Linked DNA regions of Drosophila melanogaster. The gene in region 4 interacts genetically with the main gene of each other region. Each region holds a gene or a part of one and is shown on either strand. Other genes may lie near its edges. The genes, in order: neur, qm, Fpps and Neurl4.

What was found.
Region 1: of Neurl4 (region 4) and neur, changing one enhances a phenotype caused by changing the other (phenotypic enhancement), as found in Drosophila melanogaster (one study listed by BioGRID).
Region 2: of Neurl4 (region 4) and qm, changing one suppresses a phenotype caused by changing the other (phenotypic suppression), as found in Drosophila melanogaster (one study listed by BioGRID).
Region 3: of Neurl4 (region 4) and Fpps, changing one suppresses a phenotype caused by changing the other (phenotypic suppression), as found in Drosophila melanogaster (one study listed by BioGRID).

Annotation. Positions count from the first base shown.
Region 1 is NT_033777.3:9,030,727-9,035,303, forward strand, and holds the start of neur (neuralized), read right to left. Parts: upstream 3,006-4,577; 5' UTR 2,724-3,005; coding exon 2,453-2,723; intron 1-2,452. UniProt on the Drosophila melanogaster protein: Involved in neurogenesis. Interacts with other neurogenic proteins in the specification of the neuroblast versus epidermoblast cell fate.
Region 2 is NT_037436.4:7,346,425-7,354,126, reverse strand, and holds qm (quemao), read right to left. Parts: upstream 5,815-7,702; 5' UTR 5,518-5,814; coding exon 5,452-5,517; intron 5,265-5,451; coding exon 5,110-5,264; intron 3,724-5,109; exon of another isoform or gene 3,325-3,723; intron 2,859-3,324; coding exon 2,714-2,858; intron 2,661-2,713; coding exon 2,400-2,660; intron 2,333-2,399; coding exon 2,230-2,332; intron 2,157-2,229; coding exon 2,029-2,156; intron 1,893-2,028; coding exon 1,734-1,892; 3' UTR 1,394-1,733; exon of another isoform or gene 785-1,393; 3' UTR 505-784; downstream 1-504. Other genes in the region: CTCF, read left to right, coding at 1-85, 148-249; Srp19 (signal recognition particle 19), read left to right, coding at 6,206-6,270, 6,343-6,760; CG14834 (uncharacterized protein), read left to right, coding at 7,082-7,702.
Region 3 is NT_033778.4:11,304,992-11,309,310, forward strand, and holds Fpps (farnesyl pyrophosphate synthase), read right to left. Parts: upstream 2,538-4,319; 5' UTR 2,452-2,537; coding exon 2,270-2,451; intron 1,969-2,269; coding exon 1,874-1,968; intron 1,801-1,873; coding exon 1,589-1,800; intron 1,530-1,588; coding exon 1,168-1,529; intron 1,108-1,167; coding exon 881-1,107; intron 821-880; coding exon 639-820; 3' UTR 520-638; downstream 1-519. Other genes in the region: CG7741 (uncharacterized protein), read left to right, coding at 1-88, 147-304, 360-501; CG7745 (uncharacterized protein), read left to right, coding at 2,956-3,106, 3,165-4,319.
Region 4 is NT_037436.4:14,043,884-14,051,530, forward strand, and holds the start of Neurl4 (neuralized E3 ubiquitin protein ligase 4), read right to left. Parts: upstream 6,010-7,647; 5' UTR 5,787-6,009; coding exon 5,616-5,786; intron 5,560-5,615; coding exon 5,200-5,559; intron 5,140-5,199; coding exon 4,205-5,139; intron 4,143-4,204; coding exon 3,966-4,142; intron 3,908-3,965; coding exon 2,823-3,907; intron 2,753-2,822; coding exon 1,928-2,752; intron 1,874-1,927; coding exon 1,573-1,873; intron 1,517-1,572; coding exon 1,406-1,516; intron 1,345-1,405; coding exon 1-1,344. Other genes in the region: CG6833 (uncharacterized protein), read left to right, coding at 7,453-7,647.

The DNA.
Region 1 (4,577 bases), on a different chromosome or scaffold from region 4:
AAAGTTAGCACAAGCATCTTTGTGTATATCCCCAATAGTTAACAACTGGTATTTATAGTTAATCAGTTGCAAAACGTTTACACTTGTAGAGATAACATTTCGCAGTGTCCGTTATCAAAGCGCGAAATTAAGCAGTGCTTCATATCAGCTATATGAACTATACTATACTACAATAACTATACGCAAACTTCAGAATGACACATCGAGATGATGACCTCATGAGGGGGAGAAAAATAAGTGAAAAAATAACGAAGGGGATGCATGAAAGTGGAAAAATATAGCAACAGATGTATGTAGCGAAAATGCTCAGCATACAACTGTGCTCAACAGAAAATGGCTTACTGGGAAATCAACAATAATATGTTAATATTGAAGCAATATTAGCAAAATGTCTCTTAAACATTATGTTTACAGAAATTTGTTTTTAAGCGGCGACTTACATATTTTGAACTTAATAGAATAACATTTTAGGTCTCAGAAGTTAATGTATGTATATTTATGGTGACCAACATTGTACTTAGATATGTACTTATATGTACAAACTTCCTTGGGGGGTGCGTACCGTCATTAACAATTGACTATTTACTTTTGGCCAACAATCGAAGGTCGGGCGACAATTTGTATTTGTGTGTCCCATAATCGGGGTCTCAAAGACGAGTTGGCAGTGCTCAGTTGCAAGCACACGCACGGCCAAGCAAACCATTTCGAAAAGTAAACCGTGAGAAGCTAAGTAAAAGCCAAGAGCAGATAAACTTTTTAGCCAAAGCAAACGTGGCATGCCAACACACAATAATAATAACAACAACAAACAAGGTACGAAATGTAATAGAAAATGCAGGTACAAAAAAGCAAAAGCAGCTGACGCCGAGCAAAACAACAACAAAGCAATTTCATTGATTACCGATAGGCAACGCACGTTCAAAACAAACGGACTGGAGCCGCCGCATAAAACATAAACCATTGCGGGCTTAAGCGCTCAGCAGAAAAATAAAAACTCCAAACACACTCAAGCTTCAAAGCCACGCCTCTTCCTCTTCTCATCCCGCTAGTCCATGGCTCTTCTCTTCTTCTCCTGCCGTGGATCGTTTGCTTTTCTGTTGTTGCTACCTTTGTTTTTGCTTTTGCCGATGGCGGCAACGGCGCTTCGCGTACAATTCCCCGAAAGGCAACAGCAACAACAACAAGCAATACTGAATGAGGCAGATGCAAAAACAGTGGTGGCGGGAAAAATGGAATCTCTTAAATACAGTACAATATTTTGCATAGCCACTTTTGACAAATAAAACTATTCCAGTGCTGAAGGACTAAATTAATAACTTTTTTTTATTATTCATATTGCGTCGTTCGTTGATATTCGACTGCTAGTTGTGCGACCACAATTGTTCGTAGGAGGCCAGTAAAAATAAAAAAAAAAGGGGTAGAAGCTTAGCCTATGCGTCACTGGCTTTGCTTTGCTTTTGCTTCGCCTGCTTTGGCCAAAAAAGAGAGCATTGAAGCCGAGAATGCAATTGAGCCAAAGTCAAAAAAAAAAGGTGATTTGTTGTTTTTACTTCTTTTTTTTTGTCTTTCCTTAGCTCAGCTGCTTGCAACCAAAACAAAAACAGCGCAACAAATTCCCCAGCCCAGATAATCGTTATGATAAACATAATCGCTCCTTGGGAAAATTGCTTTTGGTGGTATTTTCTTCAACTCAAGATCCCTCCGATCTGGTCTTCTCGATCAATTTGCGGTTACTTGGGTGCGATTGAAAAATTCAGTTTTCGAGAACTGACATTTCCGGCGAAAAAGTCGGAGTGTCGATGTTAAATTCTGCCGAAAAAGCCTTGAGAGAATTTCACATTTAAGATTTTTTCGCGCTTCTTTTGTGTCTATCTAGTCGGAAAAAAACAATTACTATTATAATCGCAAACTGGGCGTGTTCTGGGTGAGCATTTATTCATTAGCTTTTTGTTTTAAACTAACTCAAACTTTTTCGGTTTTTGCTCTTATCTTTCGTTATTTGTTATTGTTCTTGAGACGTAAAATGCTAATGTATGCATAAATGATTGCGGCTGGCTGTGTTTCTCGCTTATTTATCTTGCCGCTTTAATTAACCGAATGAATGAAAGAGCGATAGGTCAGACCACATGCTAATATTATGTGGGAATATCGCTGGAGATAAAAATACGATTCCCAGATCGATGAATAATGTATTTAAGGCATTTTCGCACGCGGTAATTACATTTGCTTCAAGACTTTAATGGTCAGATATCACGAAGGAAGTTTTATATTGTTAAAATGTACTACATCTACTTTAGAACCCAATCACACTGATTTTAAAAATTATTCCTGGATATTCCGAGAATTGTACGTCCTTTGAAAAACGACTTGGAAATTAACTGAATATTCTTGTTAATATATCCATCGATATCCTTAGCCCGATTCTTAGCCTGGTACTAATGCGACTACTAACCCAATCCAAAGCGCTTCTTGATCTTCTTGAGCAAGTGCATTTTCTTCTTGCTAGAGAGCTTGTCCTTGGTGCTCATGAGCAGCTCGTTGGACTCCATGGCCAGGACCTGGGCGGCCTGCTGGGCGGGAGTGGGCATGGCGTTGTGCAGCTGCTGCATCTGTTGCAGATGCTGCAAGTGCTGCTGATTCTGGTGGTGCTGCTGCTGCGGATGGAGAGTTAGGTGCGGATGGCTGCCCTGCATATAGTTGGCTGGTATATCCGATAGACCCATGGTAGTGGATTATTTCTTATTTCGTTATTTAAATTAAAACAGACGAACTAAACGAACACGCGTAATGCTAATGAAAATGCACAAGCTGCTTGCGTATTTTATTTGGCATTAAATTAAGCGATAGAGTTCTTCTTCGAATTTGAATGTTTTCCGTTAAAACATTTTGAATTTGGTTGGTTGTTTGTCTGCGCGCAACGGGAACAAACGAAACGAAACGATACGAAACACAAAGACCGACGACGACAACTTCGAGACAACCTTTCGCTGAGTTTTTTTTCAACAAATAAACGGTGGTGCAGCCTTTTATAGCTTCGCACCAGCGCGACGTCGCTGACGCAGCTCAGCTGGAGAGTAACGGATAGTACTGGCGCGCAGAAATTCTCCCGTCAGATTTGGCTTTTTTTAGTATATGTTTTCAAGATATTTAGAAGTTTAGGTATGCCAGTAAGACATATTTGGAAATTTAAGTTTTTTATAATTACTATTAACGTTTAGTGACAATTTGGGCTGTAGATTTGAATAACATTTCCTGTTTTACAATTTAATTAAAATCAAGAAACGGTAACTAAATTACATTAAAAATGCTTCAATTTATTTAAACTTATAATTTGTAAGCAATCTATTCAAATAATTTAAAATTTATCCATTTTCTGGCTAAGGGCTGTCAGCCCTGAGCGTGGATGGAGCGAAAAAGAGAGCTCAAGAGAGAAAATTATGAGACGCCATCGCTCTCTTTCTCTCTCTGGCAGCTGTTTCTTATTTACTATGGTTTCGCTTTGTGCCTGCTATTCGCGTGTATAGAGCCTCCCTTATAATTTACCTTTATGCCTCTAACTCTGCACCTTGATCAGGGATTCCTCCACATCTTCTCCTGCTGTTGCTCTTCCTGCTTCTTGTTGTTGTTGCTCTAGGCCTGCATTTGGGATTTTGGCCATAGTGCTCTGATCTTCACTAACAGTTATTCTCCTCACCTTAGTGTGTGTGTAGTTCAGCCAGGTTCAAAGCAATTCTTTTTCTTTTTCGCAGGGTTTACAAGGTCTGGCTCATATAACTAGAAAACTATTTCAATTGCCCTAATGCTTTTGATCGTGAACTTTGTGGGCCAAATATCACACGTACATACATATGTGTGTATGTATGTACTCAGTTGGAGTATGTATGGAGTAATTCCATGGGAATTAAAAAAAATTCCCAAACGTTTCTTGATAATAATAATAAATTTCTTCTTTTCCCAATTGTTTTCGGCACATTTAATTGTCCATTTTGTATGTGCAATTTATTTTAATAGAGAATATGAAACGAGATTTGTTTTTGTTTTGATTTTTTAAGTTTGCACTATAAAGATTATAAAATGAAATGGAAAGTTTGTAACTCAATTCCCAGTTTTGAAACCATTAGCTTACACAGAATTTAAAAAAATGTACCTATGATCTGGGACACATGCTATTGTGGTCTCATTTGCTAAGCTTTAGCATTGTGGTCAGCAGGATAACTGCCGTCTGGCGTCTGATCATCCTTTATCCTTTATGGATGCCACGCTGCCATTGATGGAGGATGATAATTGCGCCGAGCGCTCCTTATCCTCATCCTCGTCCTTTTTGTCCTGCATCGACAGACGGAACCGGGCAGACCTCACAGCAGATGCAATTTTCAAGATCGGAAGGGATCAAGACGGGGCAGAAAGCATTTAAATTTTGATATTAAAGTGGAAATGCATATTCAGCATCCTGGCAGCAGGCGTGCGTCCTGGAAATACATCTGCTGCTGCTTACCCGATTTCCCCCTCCTGTTCGCTCAGTTTGCAAAAATGCAAAAAAGGTCGGAGAAGGTGATGTTGGCGAAACAGGAACCGGC
Region 2 (7,702 bases), 6.7 Mb from region 4:
GGTTAATGGCGACGAGGAGGTGTTGGTCAAGCACGAACCGAGCGCCAACTCCAAGATCAGTGCCAAAAACTGCTTTGGTTTCGAGGTTAGTTGCAAAAACTTTAGCTGGCATTTGTTCCATTACTCAAAAATTTGGTTTTCATGCAGGACGACGATGATTATGAGGAGTATGGCGATGGGGAAAACGAGGTCGATGGCGCTTCCCAGGAGTTTCTGCAGCTGATGGATATGATTGAGCAGGACTCTTAGTCTCCTGAAAACAAAAGCTAATGGATAAGTAATTATGACTAACTTATGTACATACCAAGCATACAATAACGTATTTCTACGTTACATTGTTTTCTATTTAAATACACATTTAAAACAGTTAGGAAACCTATTTTTACTAGGTTAAGAAATGGATATTAAAAATGTATTCTTTCTAAATGAATGTATAATTCTGGATAAGCAGTTAACATGCCGATATGGCGACTATTTGTAAATGATCCCCGACACTTAAACTTTAGTTGACAACTTGGCATAAATATTTATTTAAATACATTTACATATATTTCAATGTTTTCATTAGTAGTATATAGTATATGGGCAAAATGTTAGGTGCGTTTGCGTTTAGCTGCATCTGGGCGTGCACTGTAAATTCTCGGCTATTAGTTGTCGTTTCTACCGTAAAATGTTCGCATAGTTTATAGTTTTCCATTTCCACTTCAGCAATCTGGTTAATTTTCTTGTTATTTTTCCGGTTTCTCTTGCCGTTTATTTCTTTTTGTTTCTTTCATGTGTATAACTACAATAAAAATATATATATTTTTATATATAATATATGTATATATTTTTTAGGTGGTGCAATGTGCAAAAACCTGCCGTGCAGTGCATCATTATCATTATTTCAATATATATAGTTGCGTTCATTTGTGTTGATTTTATAGTGTCTGCATAAAACATTAACAATTTGTCGTTAATAGTACATATGTATGTATGTATACGAATCGCATTTGTATAACAATTAAAATGGAACAACGTCGATAAAGGAAGTGCACATTGAGTTCCGAGTGAGTTAGATTTGATAAAATGACACTTAGAAATTGAAAATTGCTTGCAGAATTGAGTTACGAATACGAAACACACTTAGAAATACAAGAGCTAAAAAATTGCATATTCTATAATTCAGTAATGCTCTGCGAGATTTGCTTGATCCCCACCCCCCCCCCCCTCTCCCATTCGTTGGGCGAAACTAAAACTGGGGAAACTAAACGAGCTAACTAACTACGTAACTTTGAAGCAAAACTAAATTAAAAGTATAAAGTAAAATGTAAAAGTAAAAAAACAAATTCTTGGAAAGCTGTAATATGGCTCTTTGCTAGCTCAACGATAAGCTTGGCTTATATCAATTTACTTTTGGCTTAACAATTTTCTGTAAGGCTGCTGTTGGTTTTGTTATCCATCCCATTTCATCCGATTCACTATCAAATCCAAATCCTATCCTCCTCCTATTTCCGTTCTCATCGCTCTGGTTTCGGTTGACAGTAAGGTAGGGGTTCTCTGTGGGCTTTTCGGTTTGGCAAAGGGTAACATAAATCTCAGAATATCTTCAGCTTCTGCAGGAAACGCAACAGGGGCGCACTGAGGCACGCAGGCGTCGGCTGGCTGCTGGCCTGCTGCTGTCCCGGATTGGCGGCAAAAGAGGCTCTGCCGTTCGCAATTCACGACTGCTCCCTCTTTTGCCTCTTTGGCTGCTAATTGCAATTGAGCGTGTTCTGGTTGGGGCTGCTGCGTGAGACGTTGTTGTGATTGATCTGGTTCGACTGCGTGATGCTGGCGCTATCGCTCGTCTTCCACGACAGCAGCTTGTTGAGCAGGCGGTCCATGTACGGATTGCTACCCAAACGAGCCACCTGTGTGGGTTGAGAGATTACTTTAGTTTAGCACAAAACACGTAGCAACGATGGGATGTGTGCGAATTTCTACTTTTAACATCATCAAGACTTCCAAGCAACTTCCACTTCCCATTGCTTGTCTTCAAGTACTAACCTCCGACCGAGCCTCTGCGTCGAGCGACTCCAGAACCTTGCGTGTATACTGAAAGCTGCCCAGCTTTTCCAACAAGGTGATGCAGTACTTCTTGACCTCAATGTCGTGCGTGCGCTGGCGTAATATGTCTGTGGATATAACCATAAGCCATCAGCTTAATGAGTGAAAAGCCTTTGGTTGAGGTCAAGACGTTGGACTTACGTAGAACCTGTTTATCCTGCTTTTGGGTGCGAACCGCATGGATTACCGGGAAGCCGAACTTGCCCTCCGTCAAGTCCTCGGCGAAGCTCTTGTTCTCCGTGTACTACATCGGAATGTTATCACAGATTAACAATGACTTATGCATATTGCCAACCAATCTATACACTCACCTCTTTCAGACTCAGATTGCAATAGTCGTCGCGTATCTGAAAGTACAGGCCCAATATAGCCGTCAACTTCGAATAGTCCTCCTTGTTGGAGCTGAACAGCTGCATAAGGCGAATGGCCAGCATAAAGAGGCCGCCAGTTTTGCGCACAGTCATCAGCTTGTAATCCGACTCGGATGGACACGTGAAGCTGTCGCGCCAATAGATCTCCATGCCCTGTCCACGGTGCAGCTCCAGCAATTGTTCGGTGTACACCTTGGTAGCCTGCAAGAAACGCGGATTACTTTGAGCTTCATAGTAGAGGTGGATTTGCGTACCTCCGGATGATCCAGCTGCTGCACCTTCTCCAGCGCCAGAAAGAGTGCATAGTTGGCCGCATTTATGGTGCTGGCCACGCCGTAGATGGAATGCGCCACGGGCACACCTCTGCGAAGGATCGAATTGTCTTCAATATCATCAATGCTGTAAGTTAGTATCAAGAACATACATGTATATAATTTGCCGTGAGTTAATTGTGTACTTGTATTCAAGCTTAATATACTTTCAAGCATTAGATACTACAATTTTACTACCTTACAATCAACTTAGCAAAGAAAGAATTCGAGCCAGTAATGTTTTGAAATTAGAATAAATGTGAAAATATGTTCTTGGTTTTAAGATTCAATAGTTTACTTATCAGCAGATGTTTTTGTATAGCAATTAATTCAGAATTGCACTATATGAACACGTACTGCATAGAAAAGTATGGGTTTTTAAATAGAATTTCACAATTCGAGCGAAGGGAGCCGCGGATTCCATGTGTCCACCATCCACATTCATATTTATAAACATACGTTGGCGCTCCTCATTCCACCAAAATAATGGATGTGTAAATTTAAGCCTCGCTTAAAGGCCGCCATCGCTTCAATAACTACGATGCCCGGCGGGTAAAACGAGCTGGGCAGCCCAACATTTGCGTAATTAAAAAATGTTTGCGCTCCGCCAAAGCTGGCAAAGTCATTGGTAGGGAATATGGATGGTATGGGGACGGGACGGGATTGGATGGCTTGGCACGAAGGCGTGGGCGTTGAAGCGACAACGCACAAAGGGGCCGGGATATGGAAAGGATGGGATGAGGAATGGTATGGTATGGGATGGGGATTGGGTGCAAAGGAGGCTGGTTGGTGTTGGGGAAAATGAGGAAAATGGGCTGCGTGGCAAGAGTTGTGACAATGCCTGTCGACTGGCGACGGCCTGACTAACTGACAATGGGCATAAGTGCATGAATGACGAACGGACGGACGAGGGTCGTACGAGGAGGCACTATGGCTGCAACTGCTGGCGTCGTTGTAAAAACTAAGTTTTTTGCCAATATGAAAATGCATTACTAAAAACGTAAAAAAAAAAAAAAAAGTAGGGAACACCAAGAACATGCAGGCCACTTGGCGGAGGAATGAGACTGCCTGCTGTCTCGAGGAACAATGCTGGGGATTTTAAGCAGAATTAAGGCCATTCCTGAGTGTTTGCCTCCGAATGGTTAATGGCGACAGGTGGCCGGAGGCAGGACGGGATTAGCTTGAAAGCGAGATGAATACTTCCATAGCTGCTGCCTGAAGATAGGCGAAAATCCCTGGTCACTTCGACTCACTTTACTGCCTTCAATTGAAAAGCGGCGCAGACACTTCAATTGGCTGAGTTCAAAGTTTAATTGCGACTGTTTTGTTGGCAAGCCAACATCATCTTATTCATCGCTTTTCCTCCGTAGGCCGCCCTGGGGGAAAAATCTAAATAATTTATGCAATTTCCGAATCCACATTGGATTGCAAAGAAATTCAATTGTAAACAGAGAAACCTGCGGGCTCATGATGAAATTTGAAAATTGATTTGAGGCCAGCGTACAACGCTCTGGCCAAATAATCCACAAATGTGCGAGACTGTGTATATGGTCAAATCCAATTGGGAAAAGAGTGCGAGTGAGTCAACGAAATGATAAAGCAAAGTTCTATATAACATATGCGCGTTGTGGAAACGAACTGAGCTGATGATGATAAGAGTTTCTTCAACGAGCATATGGCAGCATTTTCACATTTTTGGAGCGTGGAGTCTCTACTGTTTTCATCACTTGCCCAAAAGAACTTTACACTCGATTAGGCATTTAACTGGAATCCATCTGAACGAAAGCAAATAAGCCAAATGTATACAAATACAGACTCTGCAAGTGTGAATTGAGATAAAACATGCAGGAGAAGTGGCCAAAACGGGGTGGGGGTCAAACGTTCGGGTGTTTTGTGTTTGAAGGGGGGGGGGGGGCACAAACAAAGCGTAAACAAAGCCAAATAATGGGGAGCAGAAAAACGAAGGAAGGCAAAGGTCAAAACTAAAAAGTAAAGCACGACTAGCATGATTAGTTGGCTGGCAATAAATCGACAGGTATTTAAACTAGCGCTGATTTTATATGGTTTCTTACAGACATATTTTTAGTGAGTACAAAAGTATGTATTGTGATATTTTAGTAAAATATTTTGTTTTAATATTGATATGCCAGTTAGTCAGTACTTTGTTATGATAATATTTATCGCTTAAGTTAACTTTGCTAAACTTTTTAATAGAGTATATACGCAGTATATACACTTTTGGGCCAAAAACACTGCATTGTCTGTAGTTTCATGCTGATTTATTGGCGTGCTATTAATCTGATATAGGGCTATTAATCAGATAATTGATATATACTCACAGCAAACTGGAATTGTGCAGCATCTGCACAATGTCTCCGATCTGCGCCAACTTTTCGCCCGGTATGAGCAACCAGTGATTGAAGGCCAAGGCCAACTCAGAGCGGAATTGCTTGCCAGGAATCTGTTGTATGTATGTAAAGGGCTGCAGCAGAATCTGGATAGCGTTTTGCGTGCGTGGGCCACATGTAAATAAAGCCCAAAATGAAGTGGGTCGAAAAAGAAGGAGAACGGAAGGAAGGCCAAAATAGCTGGTTAGTTTGCTGTTGTGTCTCTCGTTCGCTTGCCACTTTCGAATGTCAAAGTTCACGGGGTCCGGAAGGATTAAGCCGTGGGATAAGTACCTCATCCTGCTCCTTTTGCGTTGATTTATCTTTGGTCTTCTGTAATATGATGTTCAGTTCTTCCATTGTTGTCGCCGTTGTTGTTGTTTTTCTTGTTGCTGCTCCGCCGTGGCCTTGCGTGTGTGCTTTTGTTGTTTTGATAGAGCGCGGGGGGTGGTGGTGTTGGTGTTGATGGAGGGGGGTCACTGCGGTGTGGGGCGTGCTTTTTGTTTACCGCTTGGCTTCGCGACACGCGTGACTAGAATTGCTGGCCGACGCTCGTCGATTGGTTTTTCGCGTTATCCGCACAACTCAAATCAATTACACCACGGAAAGACCAAAAACAGACTGTTATTGAAGTTCTTCCGCGGCCTGCATATTGGAGATGATCGCAAGTCGATGTTTCTATCGATAGGGTTAGGAGGGCTTTTTGTAGAGGTATCATCGATATGACAAGAGATGGGAAATGTGGCTTAATAGATGTTGGCTATTTTCCGCCAACTTCTATTAAACCAGATAAGCCAAAAATTAAAATTACCTAAAATAATTTATTTCATGTACTCTTTTAATTTAAGTCGCTTATAAATAACCTCTTACGTAGTAGCCAGAAAAAGCCATATAATTATTGGCTTCCTCGCTAAATATCGATTACTCGGCCAGCTGCACGTGCCATCCCTATTTCAATTGGGTTGCTTGCGTGGAAAATAGCTTTCTAGCTCATTTTTTGTTAATTACACAGGAATTGCAATAAACCAACCAAGAATTCACTGAAAGAATGGCGACAGCAGTTCCCATGAAAAAAAACTGGAGCCCCAGCATGAAACACAACGATATGGAGCGGTAGGAACCAGGCACTGGCCAACAAAACACAAAGTTCGATTTCGCATGTAACTCTTATTGTTGTTAACACAGATGGATTTGCATATATCCCGCCTACATCAATAGGAAAAAGACACGCCAGGAGGGTCGACGGCTGCCCAAGGAGAACTGTGTAGACAATCCCAGCTATATTGAGATTCGCGATGTGCTGTCCGTTTCCAACTTGCAGTTCCTCATGGAGAACAAGAAGTACTGTCGCGAGAACAGCAGCGAGATGGAGTTCCGTGGTCGTGTGCGCGTCCAGCTGCGTAATGTCGATGGCACTTTGTACAATAATGACTTTCCCACGCGCGAGTCCATCATGCTGCATATCGCCAGCAAGATACCGCAGCTGAAGACGCGACAGAACAAATCCGGCGACTCGTACCACCAGCAGTCGCAGCCACAGTCGAATGCATCCGGATCTGGGGGTGGTGGTGGCGGCAAGAAGGGAAAGGGCAAGCGCCGCTAATGACTTCAGTGGCAACTCGTTGTTTGGTTTCTTTTGTAATAAACGCTGTAAACAAAGATTTATGTGTGTTCTGGGCCAAGTTCAAGTGCGGGAATTCGGCCTTGGCACGCCGAAGTGTGCCAAAAAAAACCGGCACAAAGAACTCAATTAGAGAACCCAATTGGGAAATGTCTCAAGATCACACGAAGTCAGCATAAATTCCGGCGAACTGTAAGCTAGAATCAACTGTCAGTCACGAACATCTACGATTTCACCTGGTCAGCGTTATAAAATCGGTTGCGCATCGCAATTGGCCAGACAGTTTGAACTGGAGCACCCACAATGATGACGGAAAAGATACGGAAGAGCAGCCTCAGTGGCTATACGGTGATACTTCTACTGGCTGCTATTCAGTTCCAAGCAAGTGTAGTGTCCAGCACGACAACCAAACCGCCATCGACATTGGCCACATCCACGAAAGCTAGTCGCAATGTGAATCCCCTGACGGAGTCGAAGCTCGAGAAGAATTGCAAGGCGCTGTGTGAGCATTGCGGCTGTTTGGGCTTCTACTGCGGCGAGGAGTGCCTGTGCGAGTGTAATGACGACCAATCCGATACTGAGTGCATTCGCACCATGCAGATGAATGCCAAGACGTTGAATCTACCATTCGAAATCGTCATCCAGGGACCGAGCAGCAATCGCTTTGTGCGCAACGCACAGCAGTTCGAGCAGAAGCGAGATCTGGTGGCCAGGAGCGCCAGCACTTCAATGCAGTCGCCTCGAAATCGTCGCTCAAACATAACCATCTACAAGCCCTCCACAAAGTTGGTCATTCAACGTACGGCCAATGGCTTAGAAACGCCATCCAAGGCTTCGGAGCAGATAAGGCACAAGAGGTCCGTCGATCACCTGGAGTGGTTCAATGACTTTGCCAGTTCCTTGGTGCGTCCCTCGCCACTGGGC
Region 3 (4,319 bases), on a different chromosome or scaffold from region 4:
TGAACGGCACTATAAATCGGTTCACCTACAAATCAACGCGCTTGCCTTTGAAGAAGGCTATGCCTGGAAGATAAAACATAGTTTTGAGGTATGCTCACGACATTCAACCTTTTATAACATATGATGTATATCCCACAACATTGCAGGATAAGGCGGAGGAATTTAATCTGGAATTTGAGACACTTCCCGCATTGGATTCTGAGAAAATGCTGCCTGAAATGGGACCTTATTTCCTGGCCGAGTTACCCGACGATAGCACACTTATAACGCGGCAAATGAAACACTTTCCCATTCATTTCGCAAGGTGCGTTAACTTCTCGATTTAAGCTACCAACTCTTGACTAAACTCATTTTTTCAGGGACGTGTTCTGTTCGGAGAATCTTCTTAACTGCGATGAAAAAGTGAACTGGAAGGATTGCCTTCTCGATAAGGACGAAGAAGTGGCGTATGTGGAAGATTTCCGAAAGGCTTTTGCGCCCTTTGATTTTACAGACGATTAAGCAAAGAACATTGTATGTATAGTAAAAAGTTCATATCGGTTGTAATTGCTGAGCCCTTGCTAACAGTTCATCCATGTAAATGCTAAAACTACAATTTAATTAAAAACGTATCCGTAAAGTCGTTGCGCTTGAGTAATTTAGGAGTCACGTTGGTAGATTTTGTTGAGTATTTGCAGGAAGGTCTGGTGAGGCACCCCGCGTGAGGTTTGTTGTATGTGCGTTTTAATCATGTTGTAGGATTCCTCCTCGAAAATGGCATAGGTGGATGGCAGTCCAAGTTCCTTGTACAGTTCTTTCACTCGCTCCACTTTAGCTGGTTCTGCAGGTTAATATTCAAAAGTCAATGTCTAATTGTGCGGGTTTGCTAAGCTAGTTTTACCTTCTTTGCCATAGCAATCGACCATGATTTGCTTTTGCTCGACATTGGCTCGCTGCATTGCCACCACTGCCAGCCACGAGCACTTGTTGTCCTGAATGTCGGTTCCAATTTTACCAGTCACTTCCGGATTACCGAAGCAGTCGAGGAAATCATCTTGAACCTGGAAAAAGTTGCCCATTTCTAGGAGAATGGTCTTCGATTGACGGAAGGCCTCTGCGTCTTTATAGCTAAACAATAGAGCGGAAGATTAATAAGCGGAATCTTATATATGTATGGCCATTACTTACCCAGCCAAGTGCAAAGCAAGTGCGAATGGAAGGTAGAAGGAGTAATAGGCAGTCTTATTTTCGACAATTGCTTTGTAGTTTTCCATTGTGAATTCCGAGACACAGCGGTTCGAGTTCAGTTGGTCCAACGATTGTCCGCAGGTAGTGATGTATGTGATTTCGTGGAAGAGCTCCATTAGGGCGACATAGCAGTCCAAGTGGCTGAAGTGCTTCTTGAGAATGGCATACATGGCGTTTTCAATCATAAGAGCATCGTTAATGGCAGTCAGGCCCACGTTCTCCACCTTGTGCCAGCAGGGTTGGCCGCGTCTGGTGGTGCTGTTGTCCATCACATCGTCTGAGATGATGAAAAAACTTTGGAGCTGAAAAGATGATCGATAACTTTGTATTAGGAAAACTATTTAATGCATAAAACTCCTACCATTTCCACACACCAGCCCAGATACTGGGCGAGCTTTATGTTCTCCGGCGTAAGATCCTGGGTGGGCACTAGATTCTTATACGTGAGCACGGTGAGGATGCCGCGGTTCTTCTTGCCCCTGGGCACATTGTACTGGAGGACTTGGGCGAACCATTTGGCTGCGTCGCTGCAATTGTATGCCTTCGTCACGGTGGTGATGTCACGCACAAGATCTGCACATCGAAATATAATTAGCATTAGTATTTGCATGATAATTGTTACTGGGCATAAATAAACAAATCTCACCTGGGAACACGGCCATAAAGTCGCGACTCTCATCTTTCGACACCGTGACGCGAGCGGCAATGGGAACCGAGTGATTTTGGAGCGTCGATAAGGTTCTGTGGACAAAACAAAAGTCAAGAACAATAGAGCCCATAACTGACACCACCAGGCAGGCACAAATACATACACACACACATGCACGCATCTATGGTCTACGTGACTGCATAAGCGGCTCGATACAAACTTTCTCCCCCACTTGAAATCAAGAAAAAAAGACCCCGAAACTCCTTTTCGAAAATCACGCCCAAAACAGGCCTCCGATACATGCATACCATGCCCATGCCCATACCGGTCGAAATGTAAACAAAACAAACAGGCAAGGCAAAGGTCAAGTGCGAAAACCGGTAGATTGATTACCTGCTAGTCTTCTTCAGCTTCTGTTCGTTGACCAGTTCGGTGGGGAGGCCGCCAATGGTGTCCATGGACTTGATGATGGGCTCTGCGTTGACCTCGTCGCTGGTAGAGATCAGGCGTTGCAGGCGCAGCGGGCTGGCCAGGATCCGCTGCTGCGGCAGGAGCATACGGGCCAGTTTAAACATTTTTATTTAAGATTATCGGCAGGTAACTATCCGCTTCACAAAACGGCAATTCAACTTCGGGTACCAAATTGCCAGTGTGACTGAATCTCGGTTCGCAAAAGAACCCACCTTAAAATTTCAAATAACCATAATACGTTTATAGCAACTATTTTATAGCTGACTTTTATTTTTCGAGAATTTTGTGAAGGTAACTTATAAGTTAAATTTTTAAACATTTTTATTTAGTAAATTCAGGAACAGCAAATGATTTACTTTTGCTGAAATTATTAATTTTATTGCGTGTTAATTAATTAAATGCATTACTATATATAAATCAAAATGCTGACGAATTTAAACATGATGCAAATTGTCGAATATATTTCGATATCAATATCTTCAAATTATATTTGACACTCTGCTGCTACATTTTCGGTCACACTGTTTCGATGTCCCATGAACAGTGTTGGAAATGGCCTGACATACACCAAAGGCAAATTGGCAGCTGAAAACACGAATTAAACTAAAATGATGGATGAGCAGCTAATTGACGAGGTAGCGCAGCACGGAGTGATCTACAACCGGCAGAAGTACTACCTCAACGGCGGCGCCAATGGTGGCAAGTACGAGACGAAGGACGAGGCCTGGCAGCTGATTGCGATGAAGCTGCGCACGGATGGTGAGGAAGACGCGCTCCTCCGGCAGATCCTCTATATAAATGTTGCCCTCCTTTCCAGTGGACACGTGCAAGAAGCGGTGGAAGTACCTACGCGAACGCTACGTGTCGCAGCGGAAGCAGGGCGATCCACCTGTCTACGAACACCTGTCGCGTCCATACCTGGAGAAAATGAAGTTCTTGGACCAGCACATCCAGCCGCGCAAGTCCTACCGCCATGTGCCGAACTTCCTAACATCTCCACAGTCCGCCAACAGCTCCGGCTACAACGAATACCAGGTTGATAAGTCCAATGGCTCCATGAAGAATGTGTCTCAGTTTGGCAGCTCAGGGCAAAGTCATCTTTACCACCAGCCGGATCAGCAACACGCAATGAGTGCTCTGAGTAACGTTGCTGCATCTGCGCTGGAAAACGTCAATGGCCAGGTGAAGATCGAGGCGGACCAGGTGTTCAGGGATTTTGCGGCTGCCGTGGCCTCACAGCAGCTCCAGCACATATCACAGTCACAAATGCAGCAACAGGCGGCGGCCGTTGCAGCTGTAATGGCTGATTCCTCGCAAGGTTATCAGGATCAATACAAGGATGGCTCCGTGGGCATGAACGGGGCCCAGAACAGCGCTGGCAGTCTGACCTCAACATCATCCTCGATGAAATCACCGCTGTCGTCGCCGCTGCAAGGAATTGGGGCAGGATCCCATCATCCTCAGCAGCAGACGCAACAACAACAGCAGCAGCAGCAGCAACAAGCGCAGCAACAGTCGCCGGCATCTGAACAGCAGCTTCCGGTGGTACATTCCTCTTCCAGCGCCACGGGCGCTTCCATCGGCAACAGTTCCACTCTGCAGATGCAACAGTCACATGTCTATAACCCCAAGGGCGATGGTCTAGACTCTTCGTCATCGAGCCATTTCCATATGAAGAAACCCCGTATTCAACTAAATGGCAATGCCCATAACCAGATGACCAGCAATGGTAGTCACTTTGGCAATGACTCGGACGACGAATCCGATGAGAACAGCCATGATCTGATGGAGCCGCAGGCTATGATGCAGCAGGAGAATCACTACAGCAATTCGATGCCCATGCAGCGGGGCAATGGAAATGGGAATAACAGTAGCAGCAATAGCGGGAGCAACAATCCCAGCGGCAATAATAGCCACAACAACCAGCAGCAGCAACAGCACCAGAACATGTTTCCGTCAAACACGGACTTCC
Region 4 (7,647 bases):
TTAATAATTAAAGCGTTGATTATGCAGGCGCCAGCCTCCTTAGTAAACCAGCAGAGATCGTTTAGCAGATGAACAGACGACTCGTTGAGAGTAGCGGACGGAGTGACTCCCACGCCGTCGGCACCTTGACCAGTTCCACCATGATCGTGGTCGGTGGATCCCAGGCTGCGCCTTTTCGCCTCGGCCGCAGCCTTGCCAGTGGTCACACCCGAAATCGACTGCCGCCGAACGTAGACCTCGAAGGAAGTGGAGATGCGGTGGAGTCCCTGTTCAGAGGCAAAGTGATGCTGCGGCAGCACGGGCTCAATGACCGTGGCATTGGGCGAATAGTACAGCTCCAGACGTGTACCAGGCTCATCCTTGAGCGCTGCAGCGGCCGGTTCCTCGTCCGGATCCGTTTCTAGCGGAAGCGGCTGCCCACGATCCAGTATCGCCCGAATCTTGTCCACCCGTGTCATGTAGTAGAAGGGCAGCCAGTCTCCGTTGAGATCAAAATGCACTTGGGGAGCGGTCGCCGAGGAAGCGCCACCACCGGCCGATGCAGTCGACGTCGAAGTGCTCAGCACATTAACCGTCTGCTGGTTTAGTTTGAAATAAACCCAACCCTCCAGTTTATCACCATTTCCTCCGATGCTGGGTCCACTGCACTTCAGGCAGAAGCACACCGGCTCAAGTCGGCTATCAAAAAAGGCCTGCGGCAGAACTAGCGATGCACAGAAGCGTCTCACCTGACGCAAATACTCGCAGTCGTTCTGCTCCACACTGGCCCCGGTGGCAGTGGATCGCAGGGAATCTGTTCCTCCACTCGGCCGCGTCTGGCCGACAGAATTCGTGTCGGATTCCATGGAATTAAGGGATGGCAGGTCGAGATTGAGTAGTGACGCCTGATCGGGCATAAGATGATGCCGCGTATATTCGTTCTGCTGGAGTTGCTGCAGCAGCAACAGGTGGTTCATGTAGTCGATCTCATCGTCCTCCAATACATTATCGTTGAGCGCGGGCTCGCCGGACATTTCGCGTTCATTGCTAGCACTCAGTTCCAAGGCCTCCGCATTGTTTTCACTGTGATCGATCGTTGTGGATACAGACGTAATTGCTCCACTTGCTTCGTCGACGGAATTGACTAACGGGTTTGGAGGATTGGGTAGATCATCATACTCCTTATTCGTGTCATATACACCCGAGTTACTCAGGTGTTGCGTATTGGCCGTGCAGCCGCTGGTGCCACTAGATCCCGCTGCCGTTGCAGATGTGTTCAAAGAGTTCTGGAATCTCTGTGTGCTCTGACTGCGTTGTATATTTAAATTAGTATTGTGCTGCAGCTGCAGAGACTCGCGAAGGCAACTAAAGAAATTCAGAAAATTAGGAATTACATTCTTATCCGCATTTCCATTGTCATGCTTACCAAGTCGACGATGATCCACCGAGTTCATTTCGCTGCTGCTCCAGAGTTCGATTCTTAATGGAAATGTTCAACAGCAAGTTCTCCGAAACGCTCTCCATAACCGATCGAGTCCTGCAAAATGATTCCGTACAGAAAACCGGAGTAGACCTATTTATTGATACGCTTACATGGCGTTTGAAGGAGCACCAGAGGTGGACGGGCCCGATTCGCACACCTGCTCCGTGTCCTTTTCCTTCTCGTGCATTTCCAGATGCGCCTTTTCACATTGCTGTGGCATACCATTATCCAATTCCAGGGCCTCCGGAGCCTCGAGAATTGGAGTACCATTGGCATTCCCAGTGCGGCCAGCATCATTTCCAGTTATCAATGTTATCTTCTCGCATTTGCCGTACACATCGAACACGGGATACACATGGTTGGGCAGTCCGCTGGCCAGATCCTCGAGATTCGTTGACCCAATCATAATGACTGAATAAATTTTGATAATTAAAAATAACTTTTAACTTTTTAAATTTAACTTACTTAGCATTCCGGCATGGGTTAGTGTCAGGGTGATCACAGTTCCCACTTGGATCTGCTCAAGGGCATCGCCGTATTTGGAGGGCATCACTTGACCGTTGATGTTCACGTAGTCGTGGGTGGCCAACCAGCAGCTCCGTTTAAAGTCCAACAGGGAAATGGGAACAGTTTGGGGACTTGCGGACAAAACGCCGAGACCGACAGTACCCTTCCACTTGTTGTTTAGGGCATCTACCTTGATGCTGATGCTCTCACCCTTACACAGCGGCTTATTGAGACAGACGATGGACTGGTTATAGGACTTGATTCTGGTCACGCTTCTGCGATCATCGCTGAGTCGTGCGTTCTTTTGTGAGACATCCAAAAACTCGTAGTTCAGTGCCTCGGAATCGATTGATTCCAGCATGGAGCTATCCTGCTTGTTCAGTGGATCCACTCCAAAGTCCATTGAGTCCTGCAGACGCAAACTGCATGGACGTAGTGGCGACGCCGGTCCTTGAGCGGAAATCACTTGAATTCCCATCGTCGAACCTCTCAGTTCGGCAACCACGTAGACATCGTTGGGCACGTTGTGAAAGTGGATGTTCACGTTCTCCGAGTTCAACAGAATGTTTAACGAGTTCTCCACTCGTTCCAGAGTTATCCTATCGTCAACCCTTAACCATTCCAGGGAGGCCAGCGAGCGCTGCAGGCAGCTTGAGTTAAAGCACACCTCGTTTCCGCTAACATACCACACGTTTGCGGGAATCCGGCGAATACTGGTTGGGAGTTTCTTGCGTACGCTTTCGTCGCTTAGATTCAAATCAGTGACCCCGATACTTAGACAACCTACGGACCATTAAAAGAAATTTTTAAAATCCTCTACATGTATGTAGATATCTACAACGGGGGAGCTTACCAGCAAACATGGAATTAACCGATGTCAGCTTAATCTCAAAAGGTGATCCCACGCTGAGCGGATGTTCCGAAAATACCAGACAATGGGATAGTGGTGCCGCCGCTCCCGTAAAGCGCGAGGCCTCCGTCCAATCCTTGGTTAGGCTTACATTTCCGGAGACGCAAGTCCAGCGGTGTTTTGTCTCCATGGCCGGATGCTGAATTACCGATGTGGCTTGGCAGCTCTGGGAATTTTCGCTGGTCGCGTACGGAGCACGGATGTCCAGCTGCGTCTGGGTAAGACTCACCTGCGCGCACTGCCCATACAAATCGATAATGGCCCAAATGTTCGGTGCGTGGCACTCGCAGGCCGGCCCTTGATCCATTCCATCAACAAAGAAGTGAATGAAGTCACCATTGCGCATCACACCAACACGCGTGCTAGGACCTAGGGTATCCAAATCCAGCAGAATATTCGTGCGTATAGTCTTGCGGTTGTGAAAAATCATCGGGCCGCATAAGATGATGGTGTCGCTGGCCTCCAGATCGGTGGCGTTTGGAGCCAACTGGATGTCCTCGGGCCGAGTGCCCGTCACCCCGATCTCAATGTTGCCCGACCAGTGACGAACCATTGTCTCCAGCTCCACTTCAAACAATTCCCTCTGCCTTAGCGGTCGGTTACTGAACACAATTGCGTCATTGAACTCCGCCAGGGAATTGGGACGCGACGCTGTTAGGCCACTATTCGATATGCCCGCATTGGCGCCGTGGATGCTGTGAAATCGCAGCGGAACTTCACTGTACAACGTCGTGTTTGAGATGGTAGAGTTTCCAGTGTCCGGACTACCGCACTCCGAAGTGTCCACGATGCTTGCTTGTGCTGCCTGTCCATACAAATCGATTACACCATAAACGCGCTCGGGAACATTGTTGGCAGCTGGACCCTGATCCACTCCATTTACCCAGAAATGCAAGGTGCCGTCGTCCTTGCGCACCACACCCACTCTATCGCCCACCTGCAAGCGATCCAGGTTTTGACCATACTGTTCGATAACGGTGACTCCATTCTGCATGACCCCGTTTCCCGTCATCATCCAAGTGCCGGAACTGGTTTGGAAAATGGTTGTTTAAAACAACTAAAGTTGGGCTAGAAGCCAGGACTCACCGCACATTAGTCATCGTGAATGGAAAGTCCAGTTCGTCGGCGCTGTGCGTGGTCACTCCCATTTCAACAGAGCCAGCCCATTTGGTCACGACGCGTTCGAGTCGCACTTGGAAGAGTTCGTTGGGGCGCAGAGGTCTCCTTGTGAGCACTACACCATTGTTAAAATCATCGGCAGCACTGCATACAAATTGGGGAATTGAAATTCATAAAAATCTTCTGCCGTAAACAACAATGCTCACTTGGGCCGCAGCGCTGTCCGCCCGCTCTGGGTGACGGTGGCGTGAGTACCACAAATGTGGTGGAAGGTTAGCCGGTCATCGTTCCTGGCTATGGCTCGCGTGCTGGAAATGGTCTCACTTAGGCCGCCGGCAGCGCCAGCGGCATTCATCTCGCTCTCTGGACTTAGGAGGCTCAGGGTTGGGGTGCCGGAATGCTGCTGGTGCTGGGTGTGCTGAGCACCAGCACCACTGGAACATGCAGTCATGCCTGCTACTATGTTGTTTCGCCGTGTCACGAGATTCTGCTGCTCACGTTCATCGCGATCAACTATTGTTACCTTGATAGTCATTCCGTAGAGATCGATAACGCCCCACAAAGTGGACGGTGCTCTGGTGGCGGCCACACCCTGGTCCTGACCGTTAATGTAATTGTGTAGGTTGCCGTTGGCCTTGCGCATCATCCCAACGCGATCTCCCTCGCGAAGCTCATCCAAGTTGAACTCGCCGTACTGACGGCGTGTCCCCTTACCATTGGTTAAAATGCCGCAGCCGGACATCATAATTGTGCCTGAGCGCATGTTGGTCATGGTTGCCGGAAAGTGCAGCACTGCGGGATTGTGCGTGGTGACGCCCACTTCAATGGATCCCGACCATTTGTCCACTAACTTGTCGATGCGAATCTCAAACAGTTCGTTGTCCCTCAGAGGCCTGTGGGTCATCACCACGCCGTTATTGAACTCGTCCAGGGGTCGACGGCGTTCGGCGGATCGAAAGTTGGGCGAAAGCTTCACCAACGACCCACAGCGGGTGTGGAAGCACAGTCGGTCATCAGCACCGGATACGGAGCCATTGCCTTGCATCCAGGCGTCGGAGTCAACGACAATGTTTACGTTCATGGCCACGTCCAAGTTTTGAACAACCTGTTGCAGTGGTTGCTGCAGCGGAGAATCCAAAAGCTGTGTACAAAGAAAACGAGTTTTTGTTTACCTATTCATTTGGATTAGCTGAATTGTTACCTCTCCGGAACCACTTCCATCGCGCGGACACAAGGAAACCTGCACACAACGTCCGTAGAGATCGACAAGAGCCCACAGAGGCTTGGGCATGTTCTTTGCAGCCACGCCTTGCGACTCTCCGTTCACATAGAAGACCAAATCGTTACCAGAGGTGCGCATGACGCCAACGCGATCATTCTCGTTGAGCGTCTCCAGATCGGTGCCATAGAACTCGAATAGGCGTCGTCCATCCTTGCGCACGTCGATGCCGGACATGACCCATGTGCCATTTCGCATGGCAGTGGCGCATGCCACCAGTTCCAGGTCATCCGGCGACTCCGCGGTGACACCAATCTCAATGCTTCCGCCCCAGTAGGTATTCTGCAAGACGATCATTATCCGCAGCTCTATCTGCTGCAGTCGTGTGGCTAACTCACCTTCTTCTCGATGACGACCTCGAAAAGTACATCGTCCTCCAGGGGCTCAGCACTGAACACCAGGGCATGACTGAAATCCCGCATTGAGCGCTGGGCCATCCGGTTGTTATTGTACAGCCGGATGGAGCGGCCACAGCGTGTGTGGAAGGATTGCGCTTCTCTGCCGGTCATGGTTGCTCCTCCAGTTCTGCTTTATCGGTCCTTTTCTCCGCCGCCGCTTGTCGCCGTACAAATCAATCGACAGTCGGAATGGGAACACGGGCGGATTGCGGCTCATCGGCTGTTGGCGATGTAAGTGCTGGGTTCTCGGGCGCTGATGGAAAAATTCCGATGGAGTAGTCTGCAGTTTCCTAGATCTTCACAAAGCATTATGCATTATTTTCAAAGATGTGCCAAACTAAAATAAACAAATGAATATCCTTTTCGTATGACCGTTCATAGATGTAACAAAAATCTATACATTCAACGAACATATCGACTGTTTAGTTGAATGGCTTATCAGTTATTACACTGAAAACAAAGTTCGAGCTATATGTAATTAACAAGGTTTGCTCTTAATTCGCCTAATAAGAAAATACATTTATTTTCAAGTCTCCAAAATCTCCAAGCATCCAAAATTTCATATTCAATTTGAGTTTCAAATTAAAGCTAACTTTTTGGATAATCTTTTTCTAAAAACAGATCACTTGTACTGCAAAGAAATTAAAAACAAAAAACTTTAAACAAAATTATATTAGTTTTAAAACAGTTGTTCCCGGTCGGTTAGGCTAACCACGCTGCCTTCCAGCATCTTAAGCATGCTCTGTTGGACGGCCTCGCCGTGTCACCGGAGATGTTTAACTGGCAGTTGGTTTGAAAAGTTGGTTTGAAAACCTGGGAAGCTTTGAGGCTGAACTTGGCATTTTCTCTCGTCCGAAGTCTGGTCCCTGACGGATGCGACAGAGGAACTGTCGATTAGAGGCTGATCGTAAATTTCAATCAATGTTTCCAGTAGTTTTTGGGGCGACATCTTAATCAAATAATTTTCATGGTGGCCAAGTCAATTTCGCGAGCATACTGCAACTCATAAATAGTGAGGCGATCCTCCTGTTGAGCCATGTAATGCTGCAAACGGCATTCCTCAAATGAATAATCCTCGATGTGATTGGGAAAGTTGCCCAGGCCGCCGAAGGGGCCGAATGCAGATAGGGGCCACGCCCCGCTTTTCAAGTAAAGTTTTACTTCCTCGACGACCATATGCCTTAATGCGAATTAAGTAAGCTGCGCTTACTTGACATCTATGTGCTCCAGGATGCACTCCGAACGAAATACGCGGGAGCCAGTTTAAAACTCCTTGCATACGAACATCTTTATCAAGTGCGCACTTCGCAGTGGATATCCAAAACTTCAAGCCCAATCTCGAGTGTGCACATGCATATGTATAAAATCCGTTAGTTTGATATTTTTACGATTTGTTAAAATATAAAACCGCCATAAGTGATTTTAGAATATTAGTCAATACTCCCACATTTCTTCAATATTTTAATGAACTTACACTACTTCAACGTCTGAAACTGTAAATGAATAGCGATTTTTACGGTCTTATTTGTTCGAGCGATCAATGCACATATTATTGACGCAGTGAATGCGTTCACAGGCTACATAAGGCGTGATTGCTATTTACCTGCTGAACGCACCCATTGACACTGTTTAAATACCAAAAGCCCGTCGACAGTAATACTCCAGCAACCCCAAGACGGTCACACTGGTCGGTGTTACTAAAATAAAGAAACACATTTGTTATTCGAGATTGTCTTAAGCTGGATATTTATTTGGAATATATAGATGCCCCGACGCCATGTCCGCTACGCCACGCCAGAAGCAGTTCGACATGAATCGTAGCCGGGCCAATAACTTGGACAGCAGCAGAAGCGGGTCTGCCAACAACAAAAACACCACGGACAGCACGAAAAATGTGGTTTCCCCGCAACACAATCAACGCAAGCTGCAAGCCTCCATGGAGCGCCTACAGGTGCAACAGGTGAACACAAGT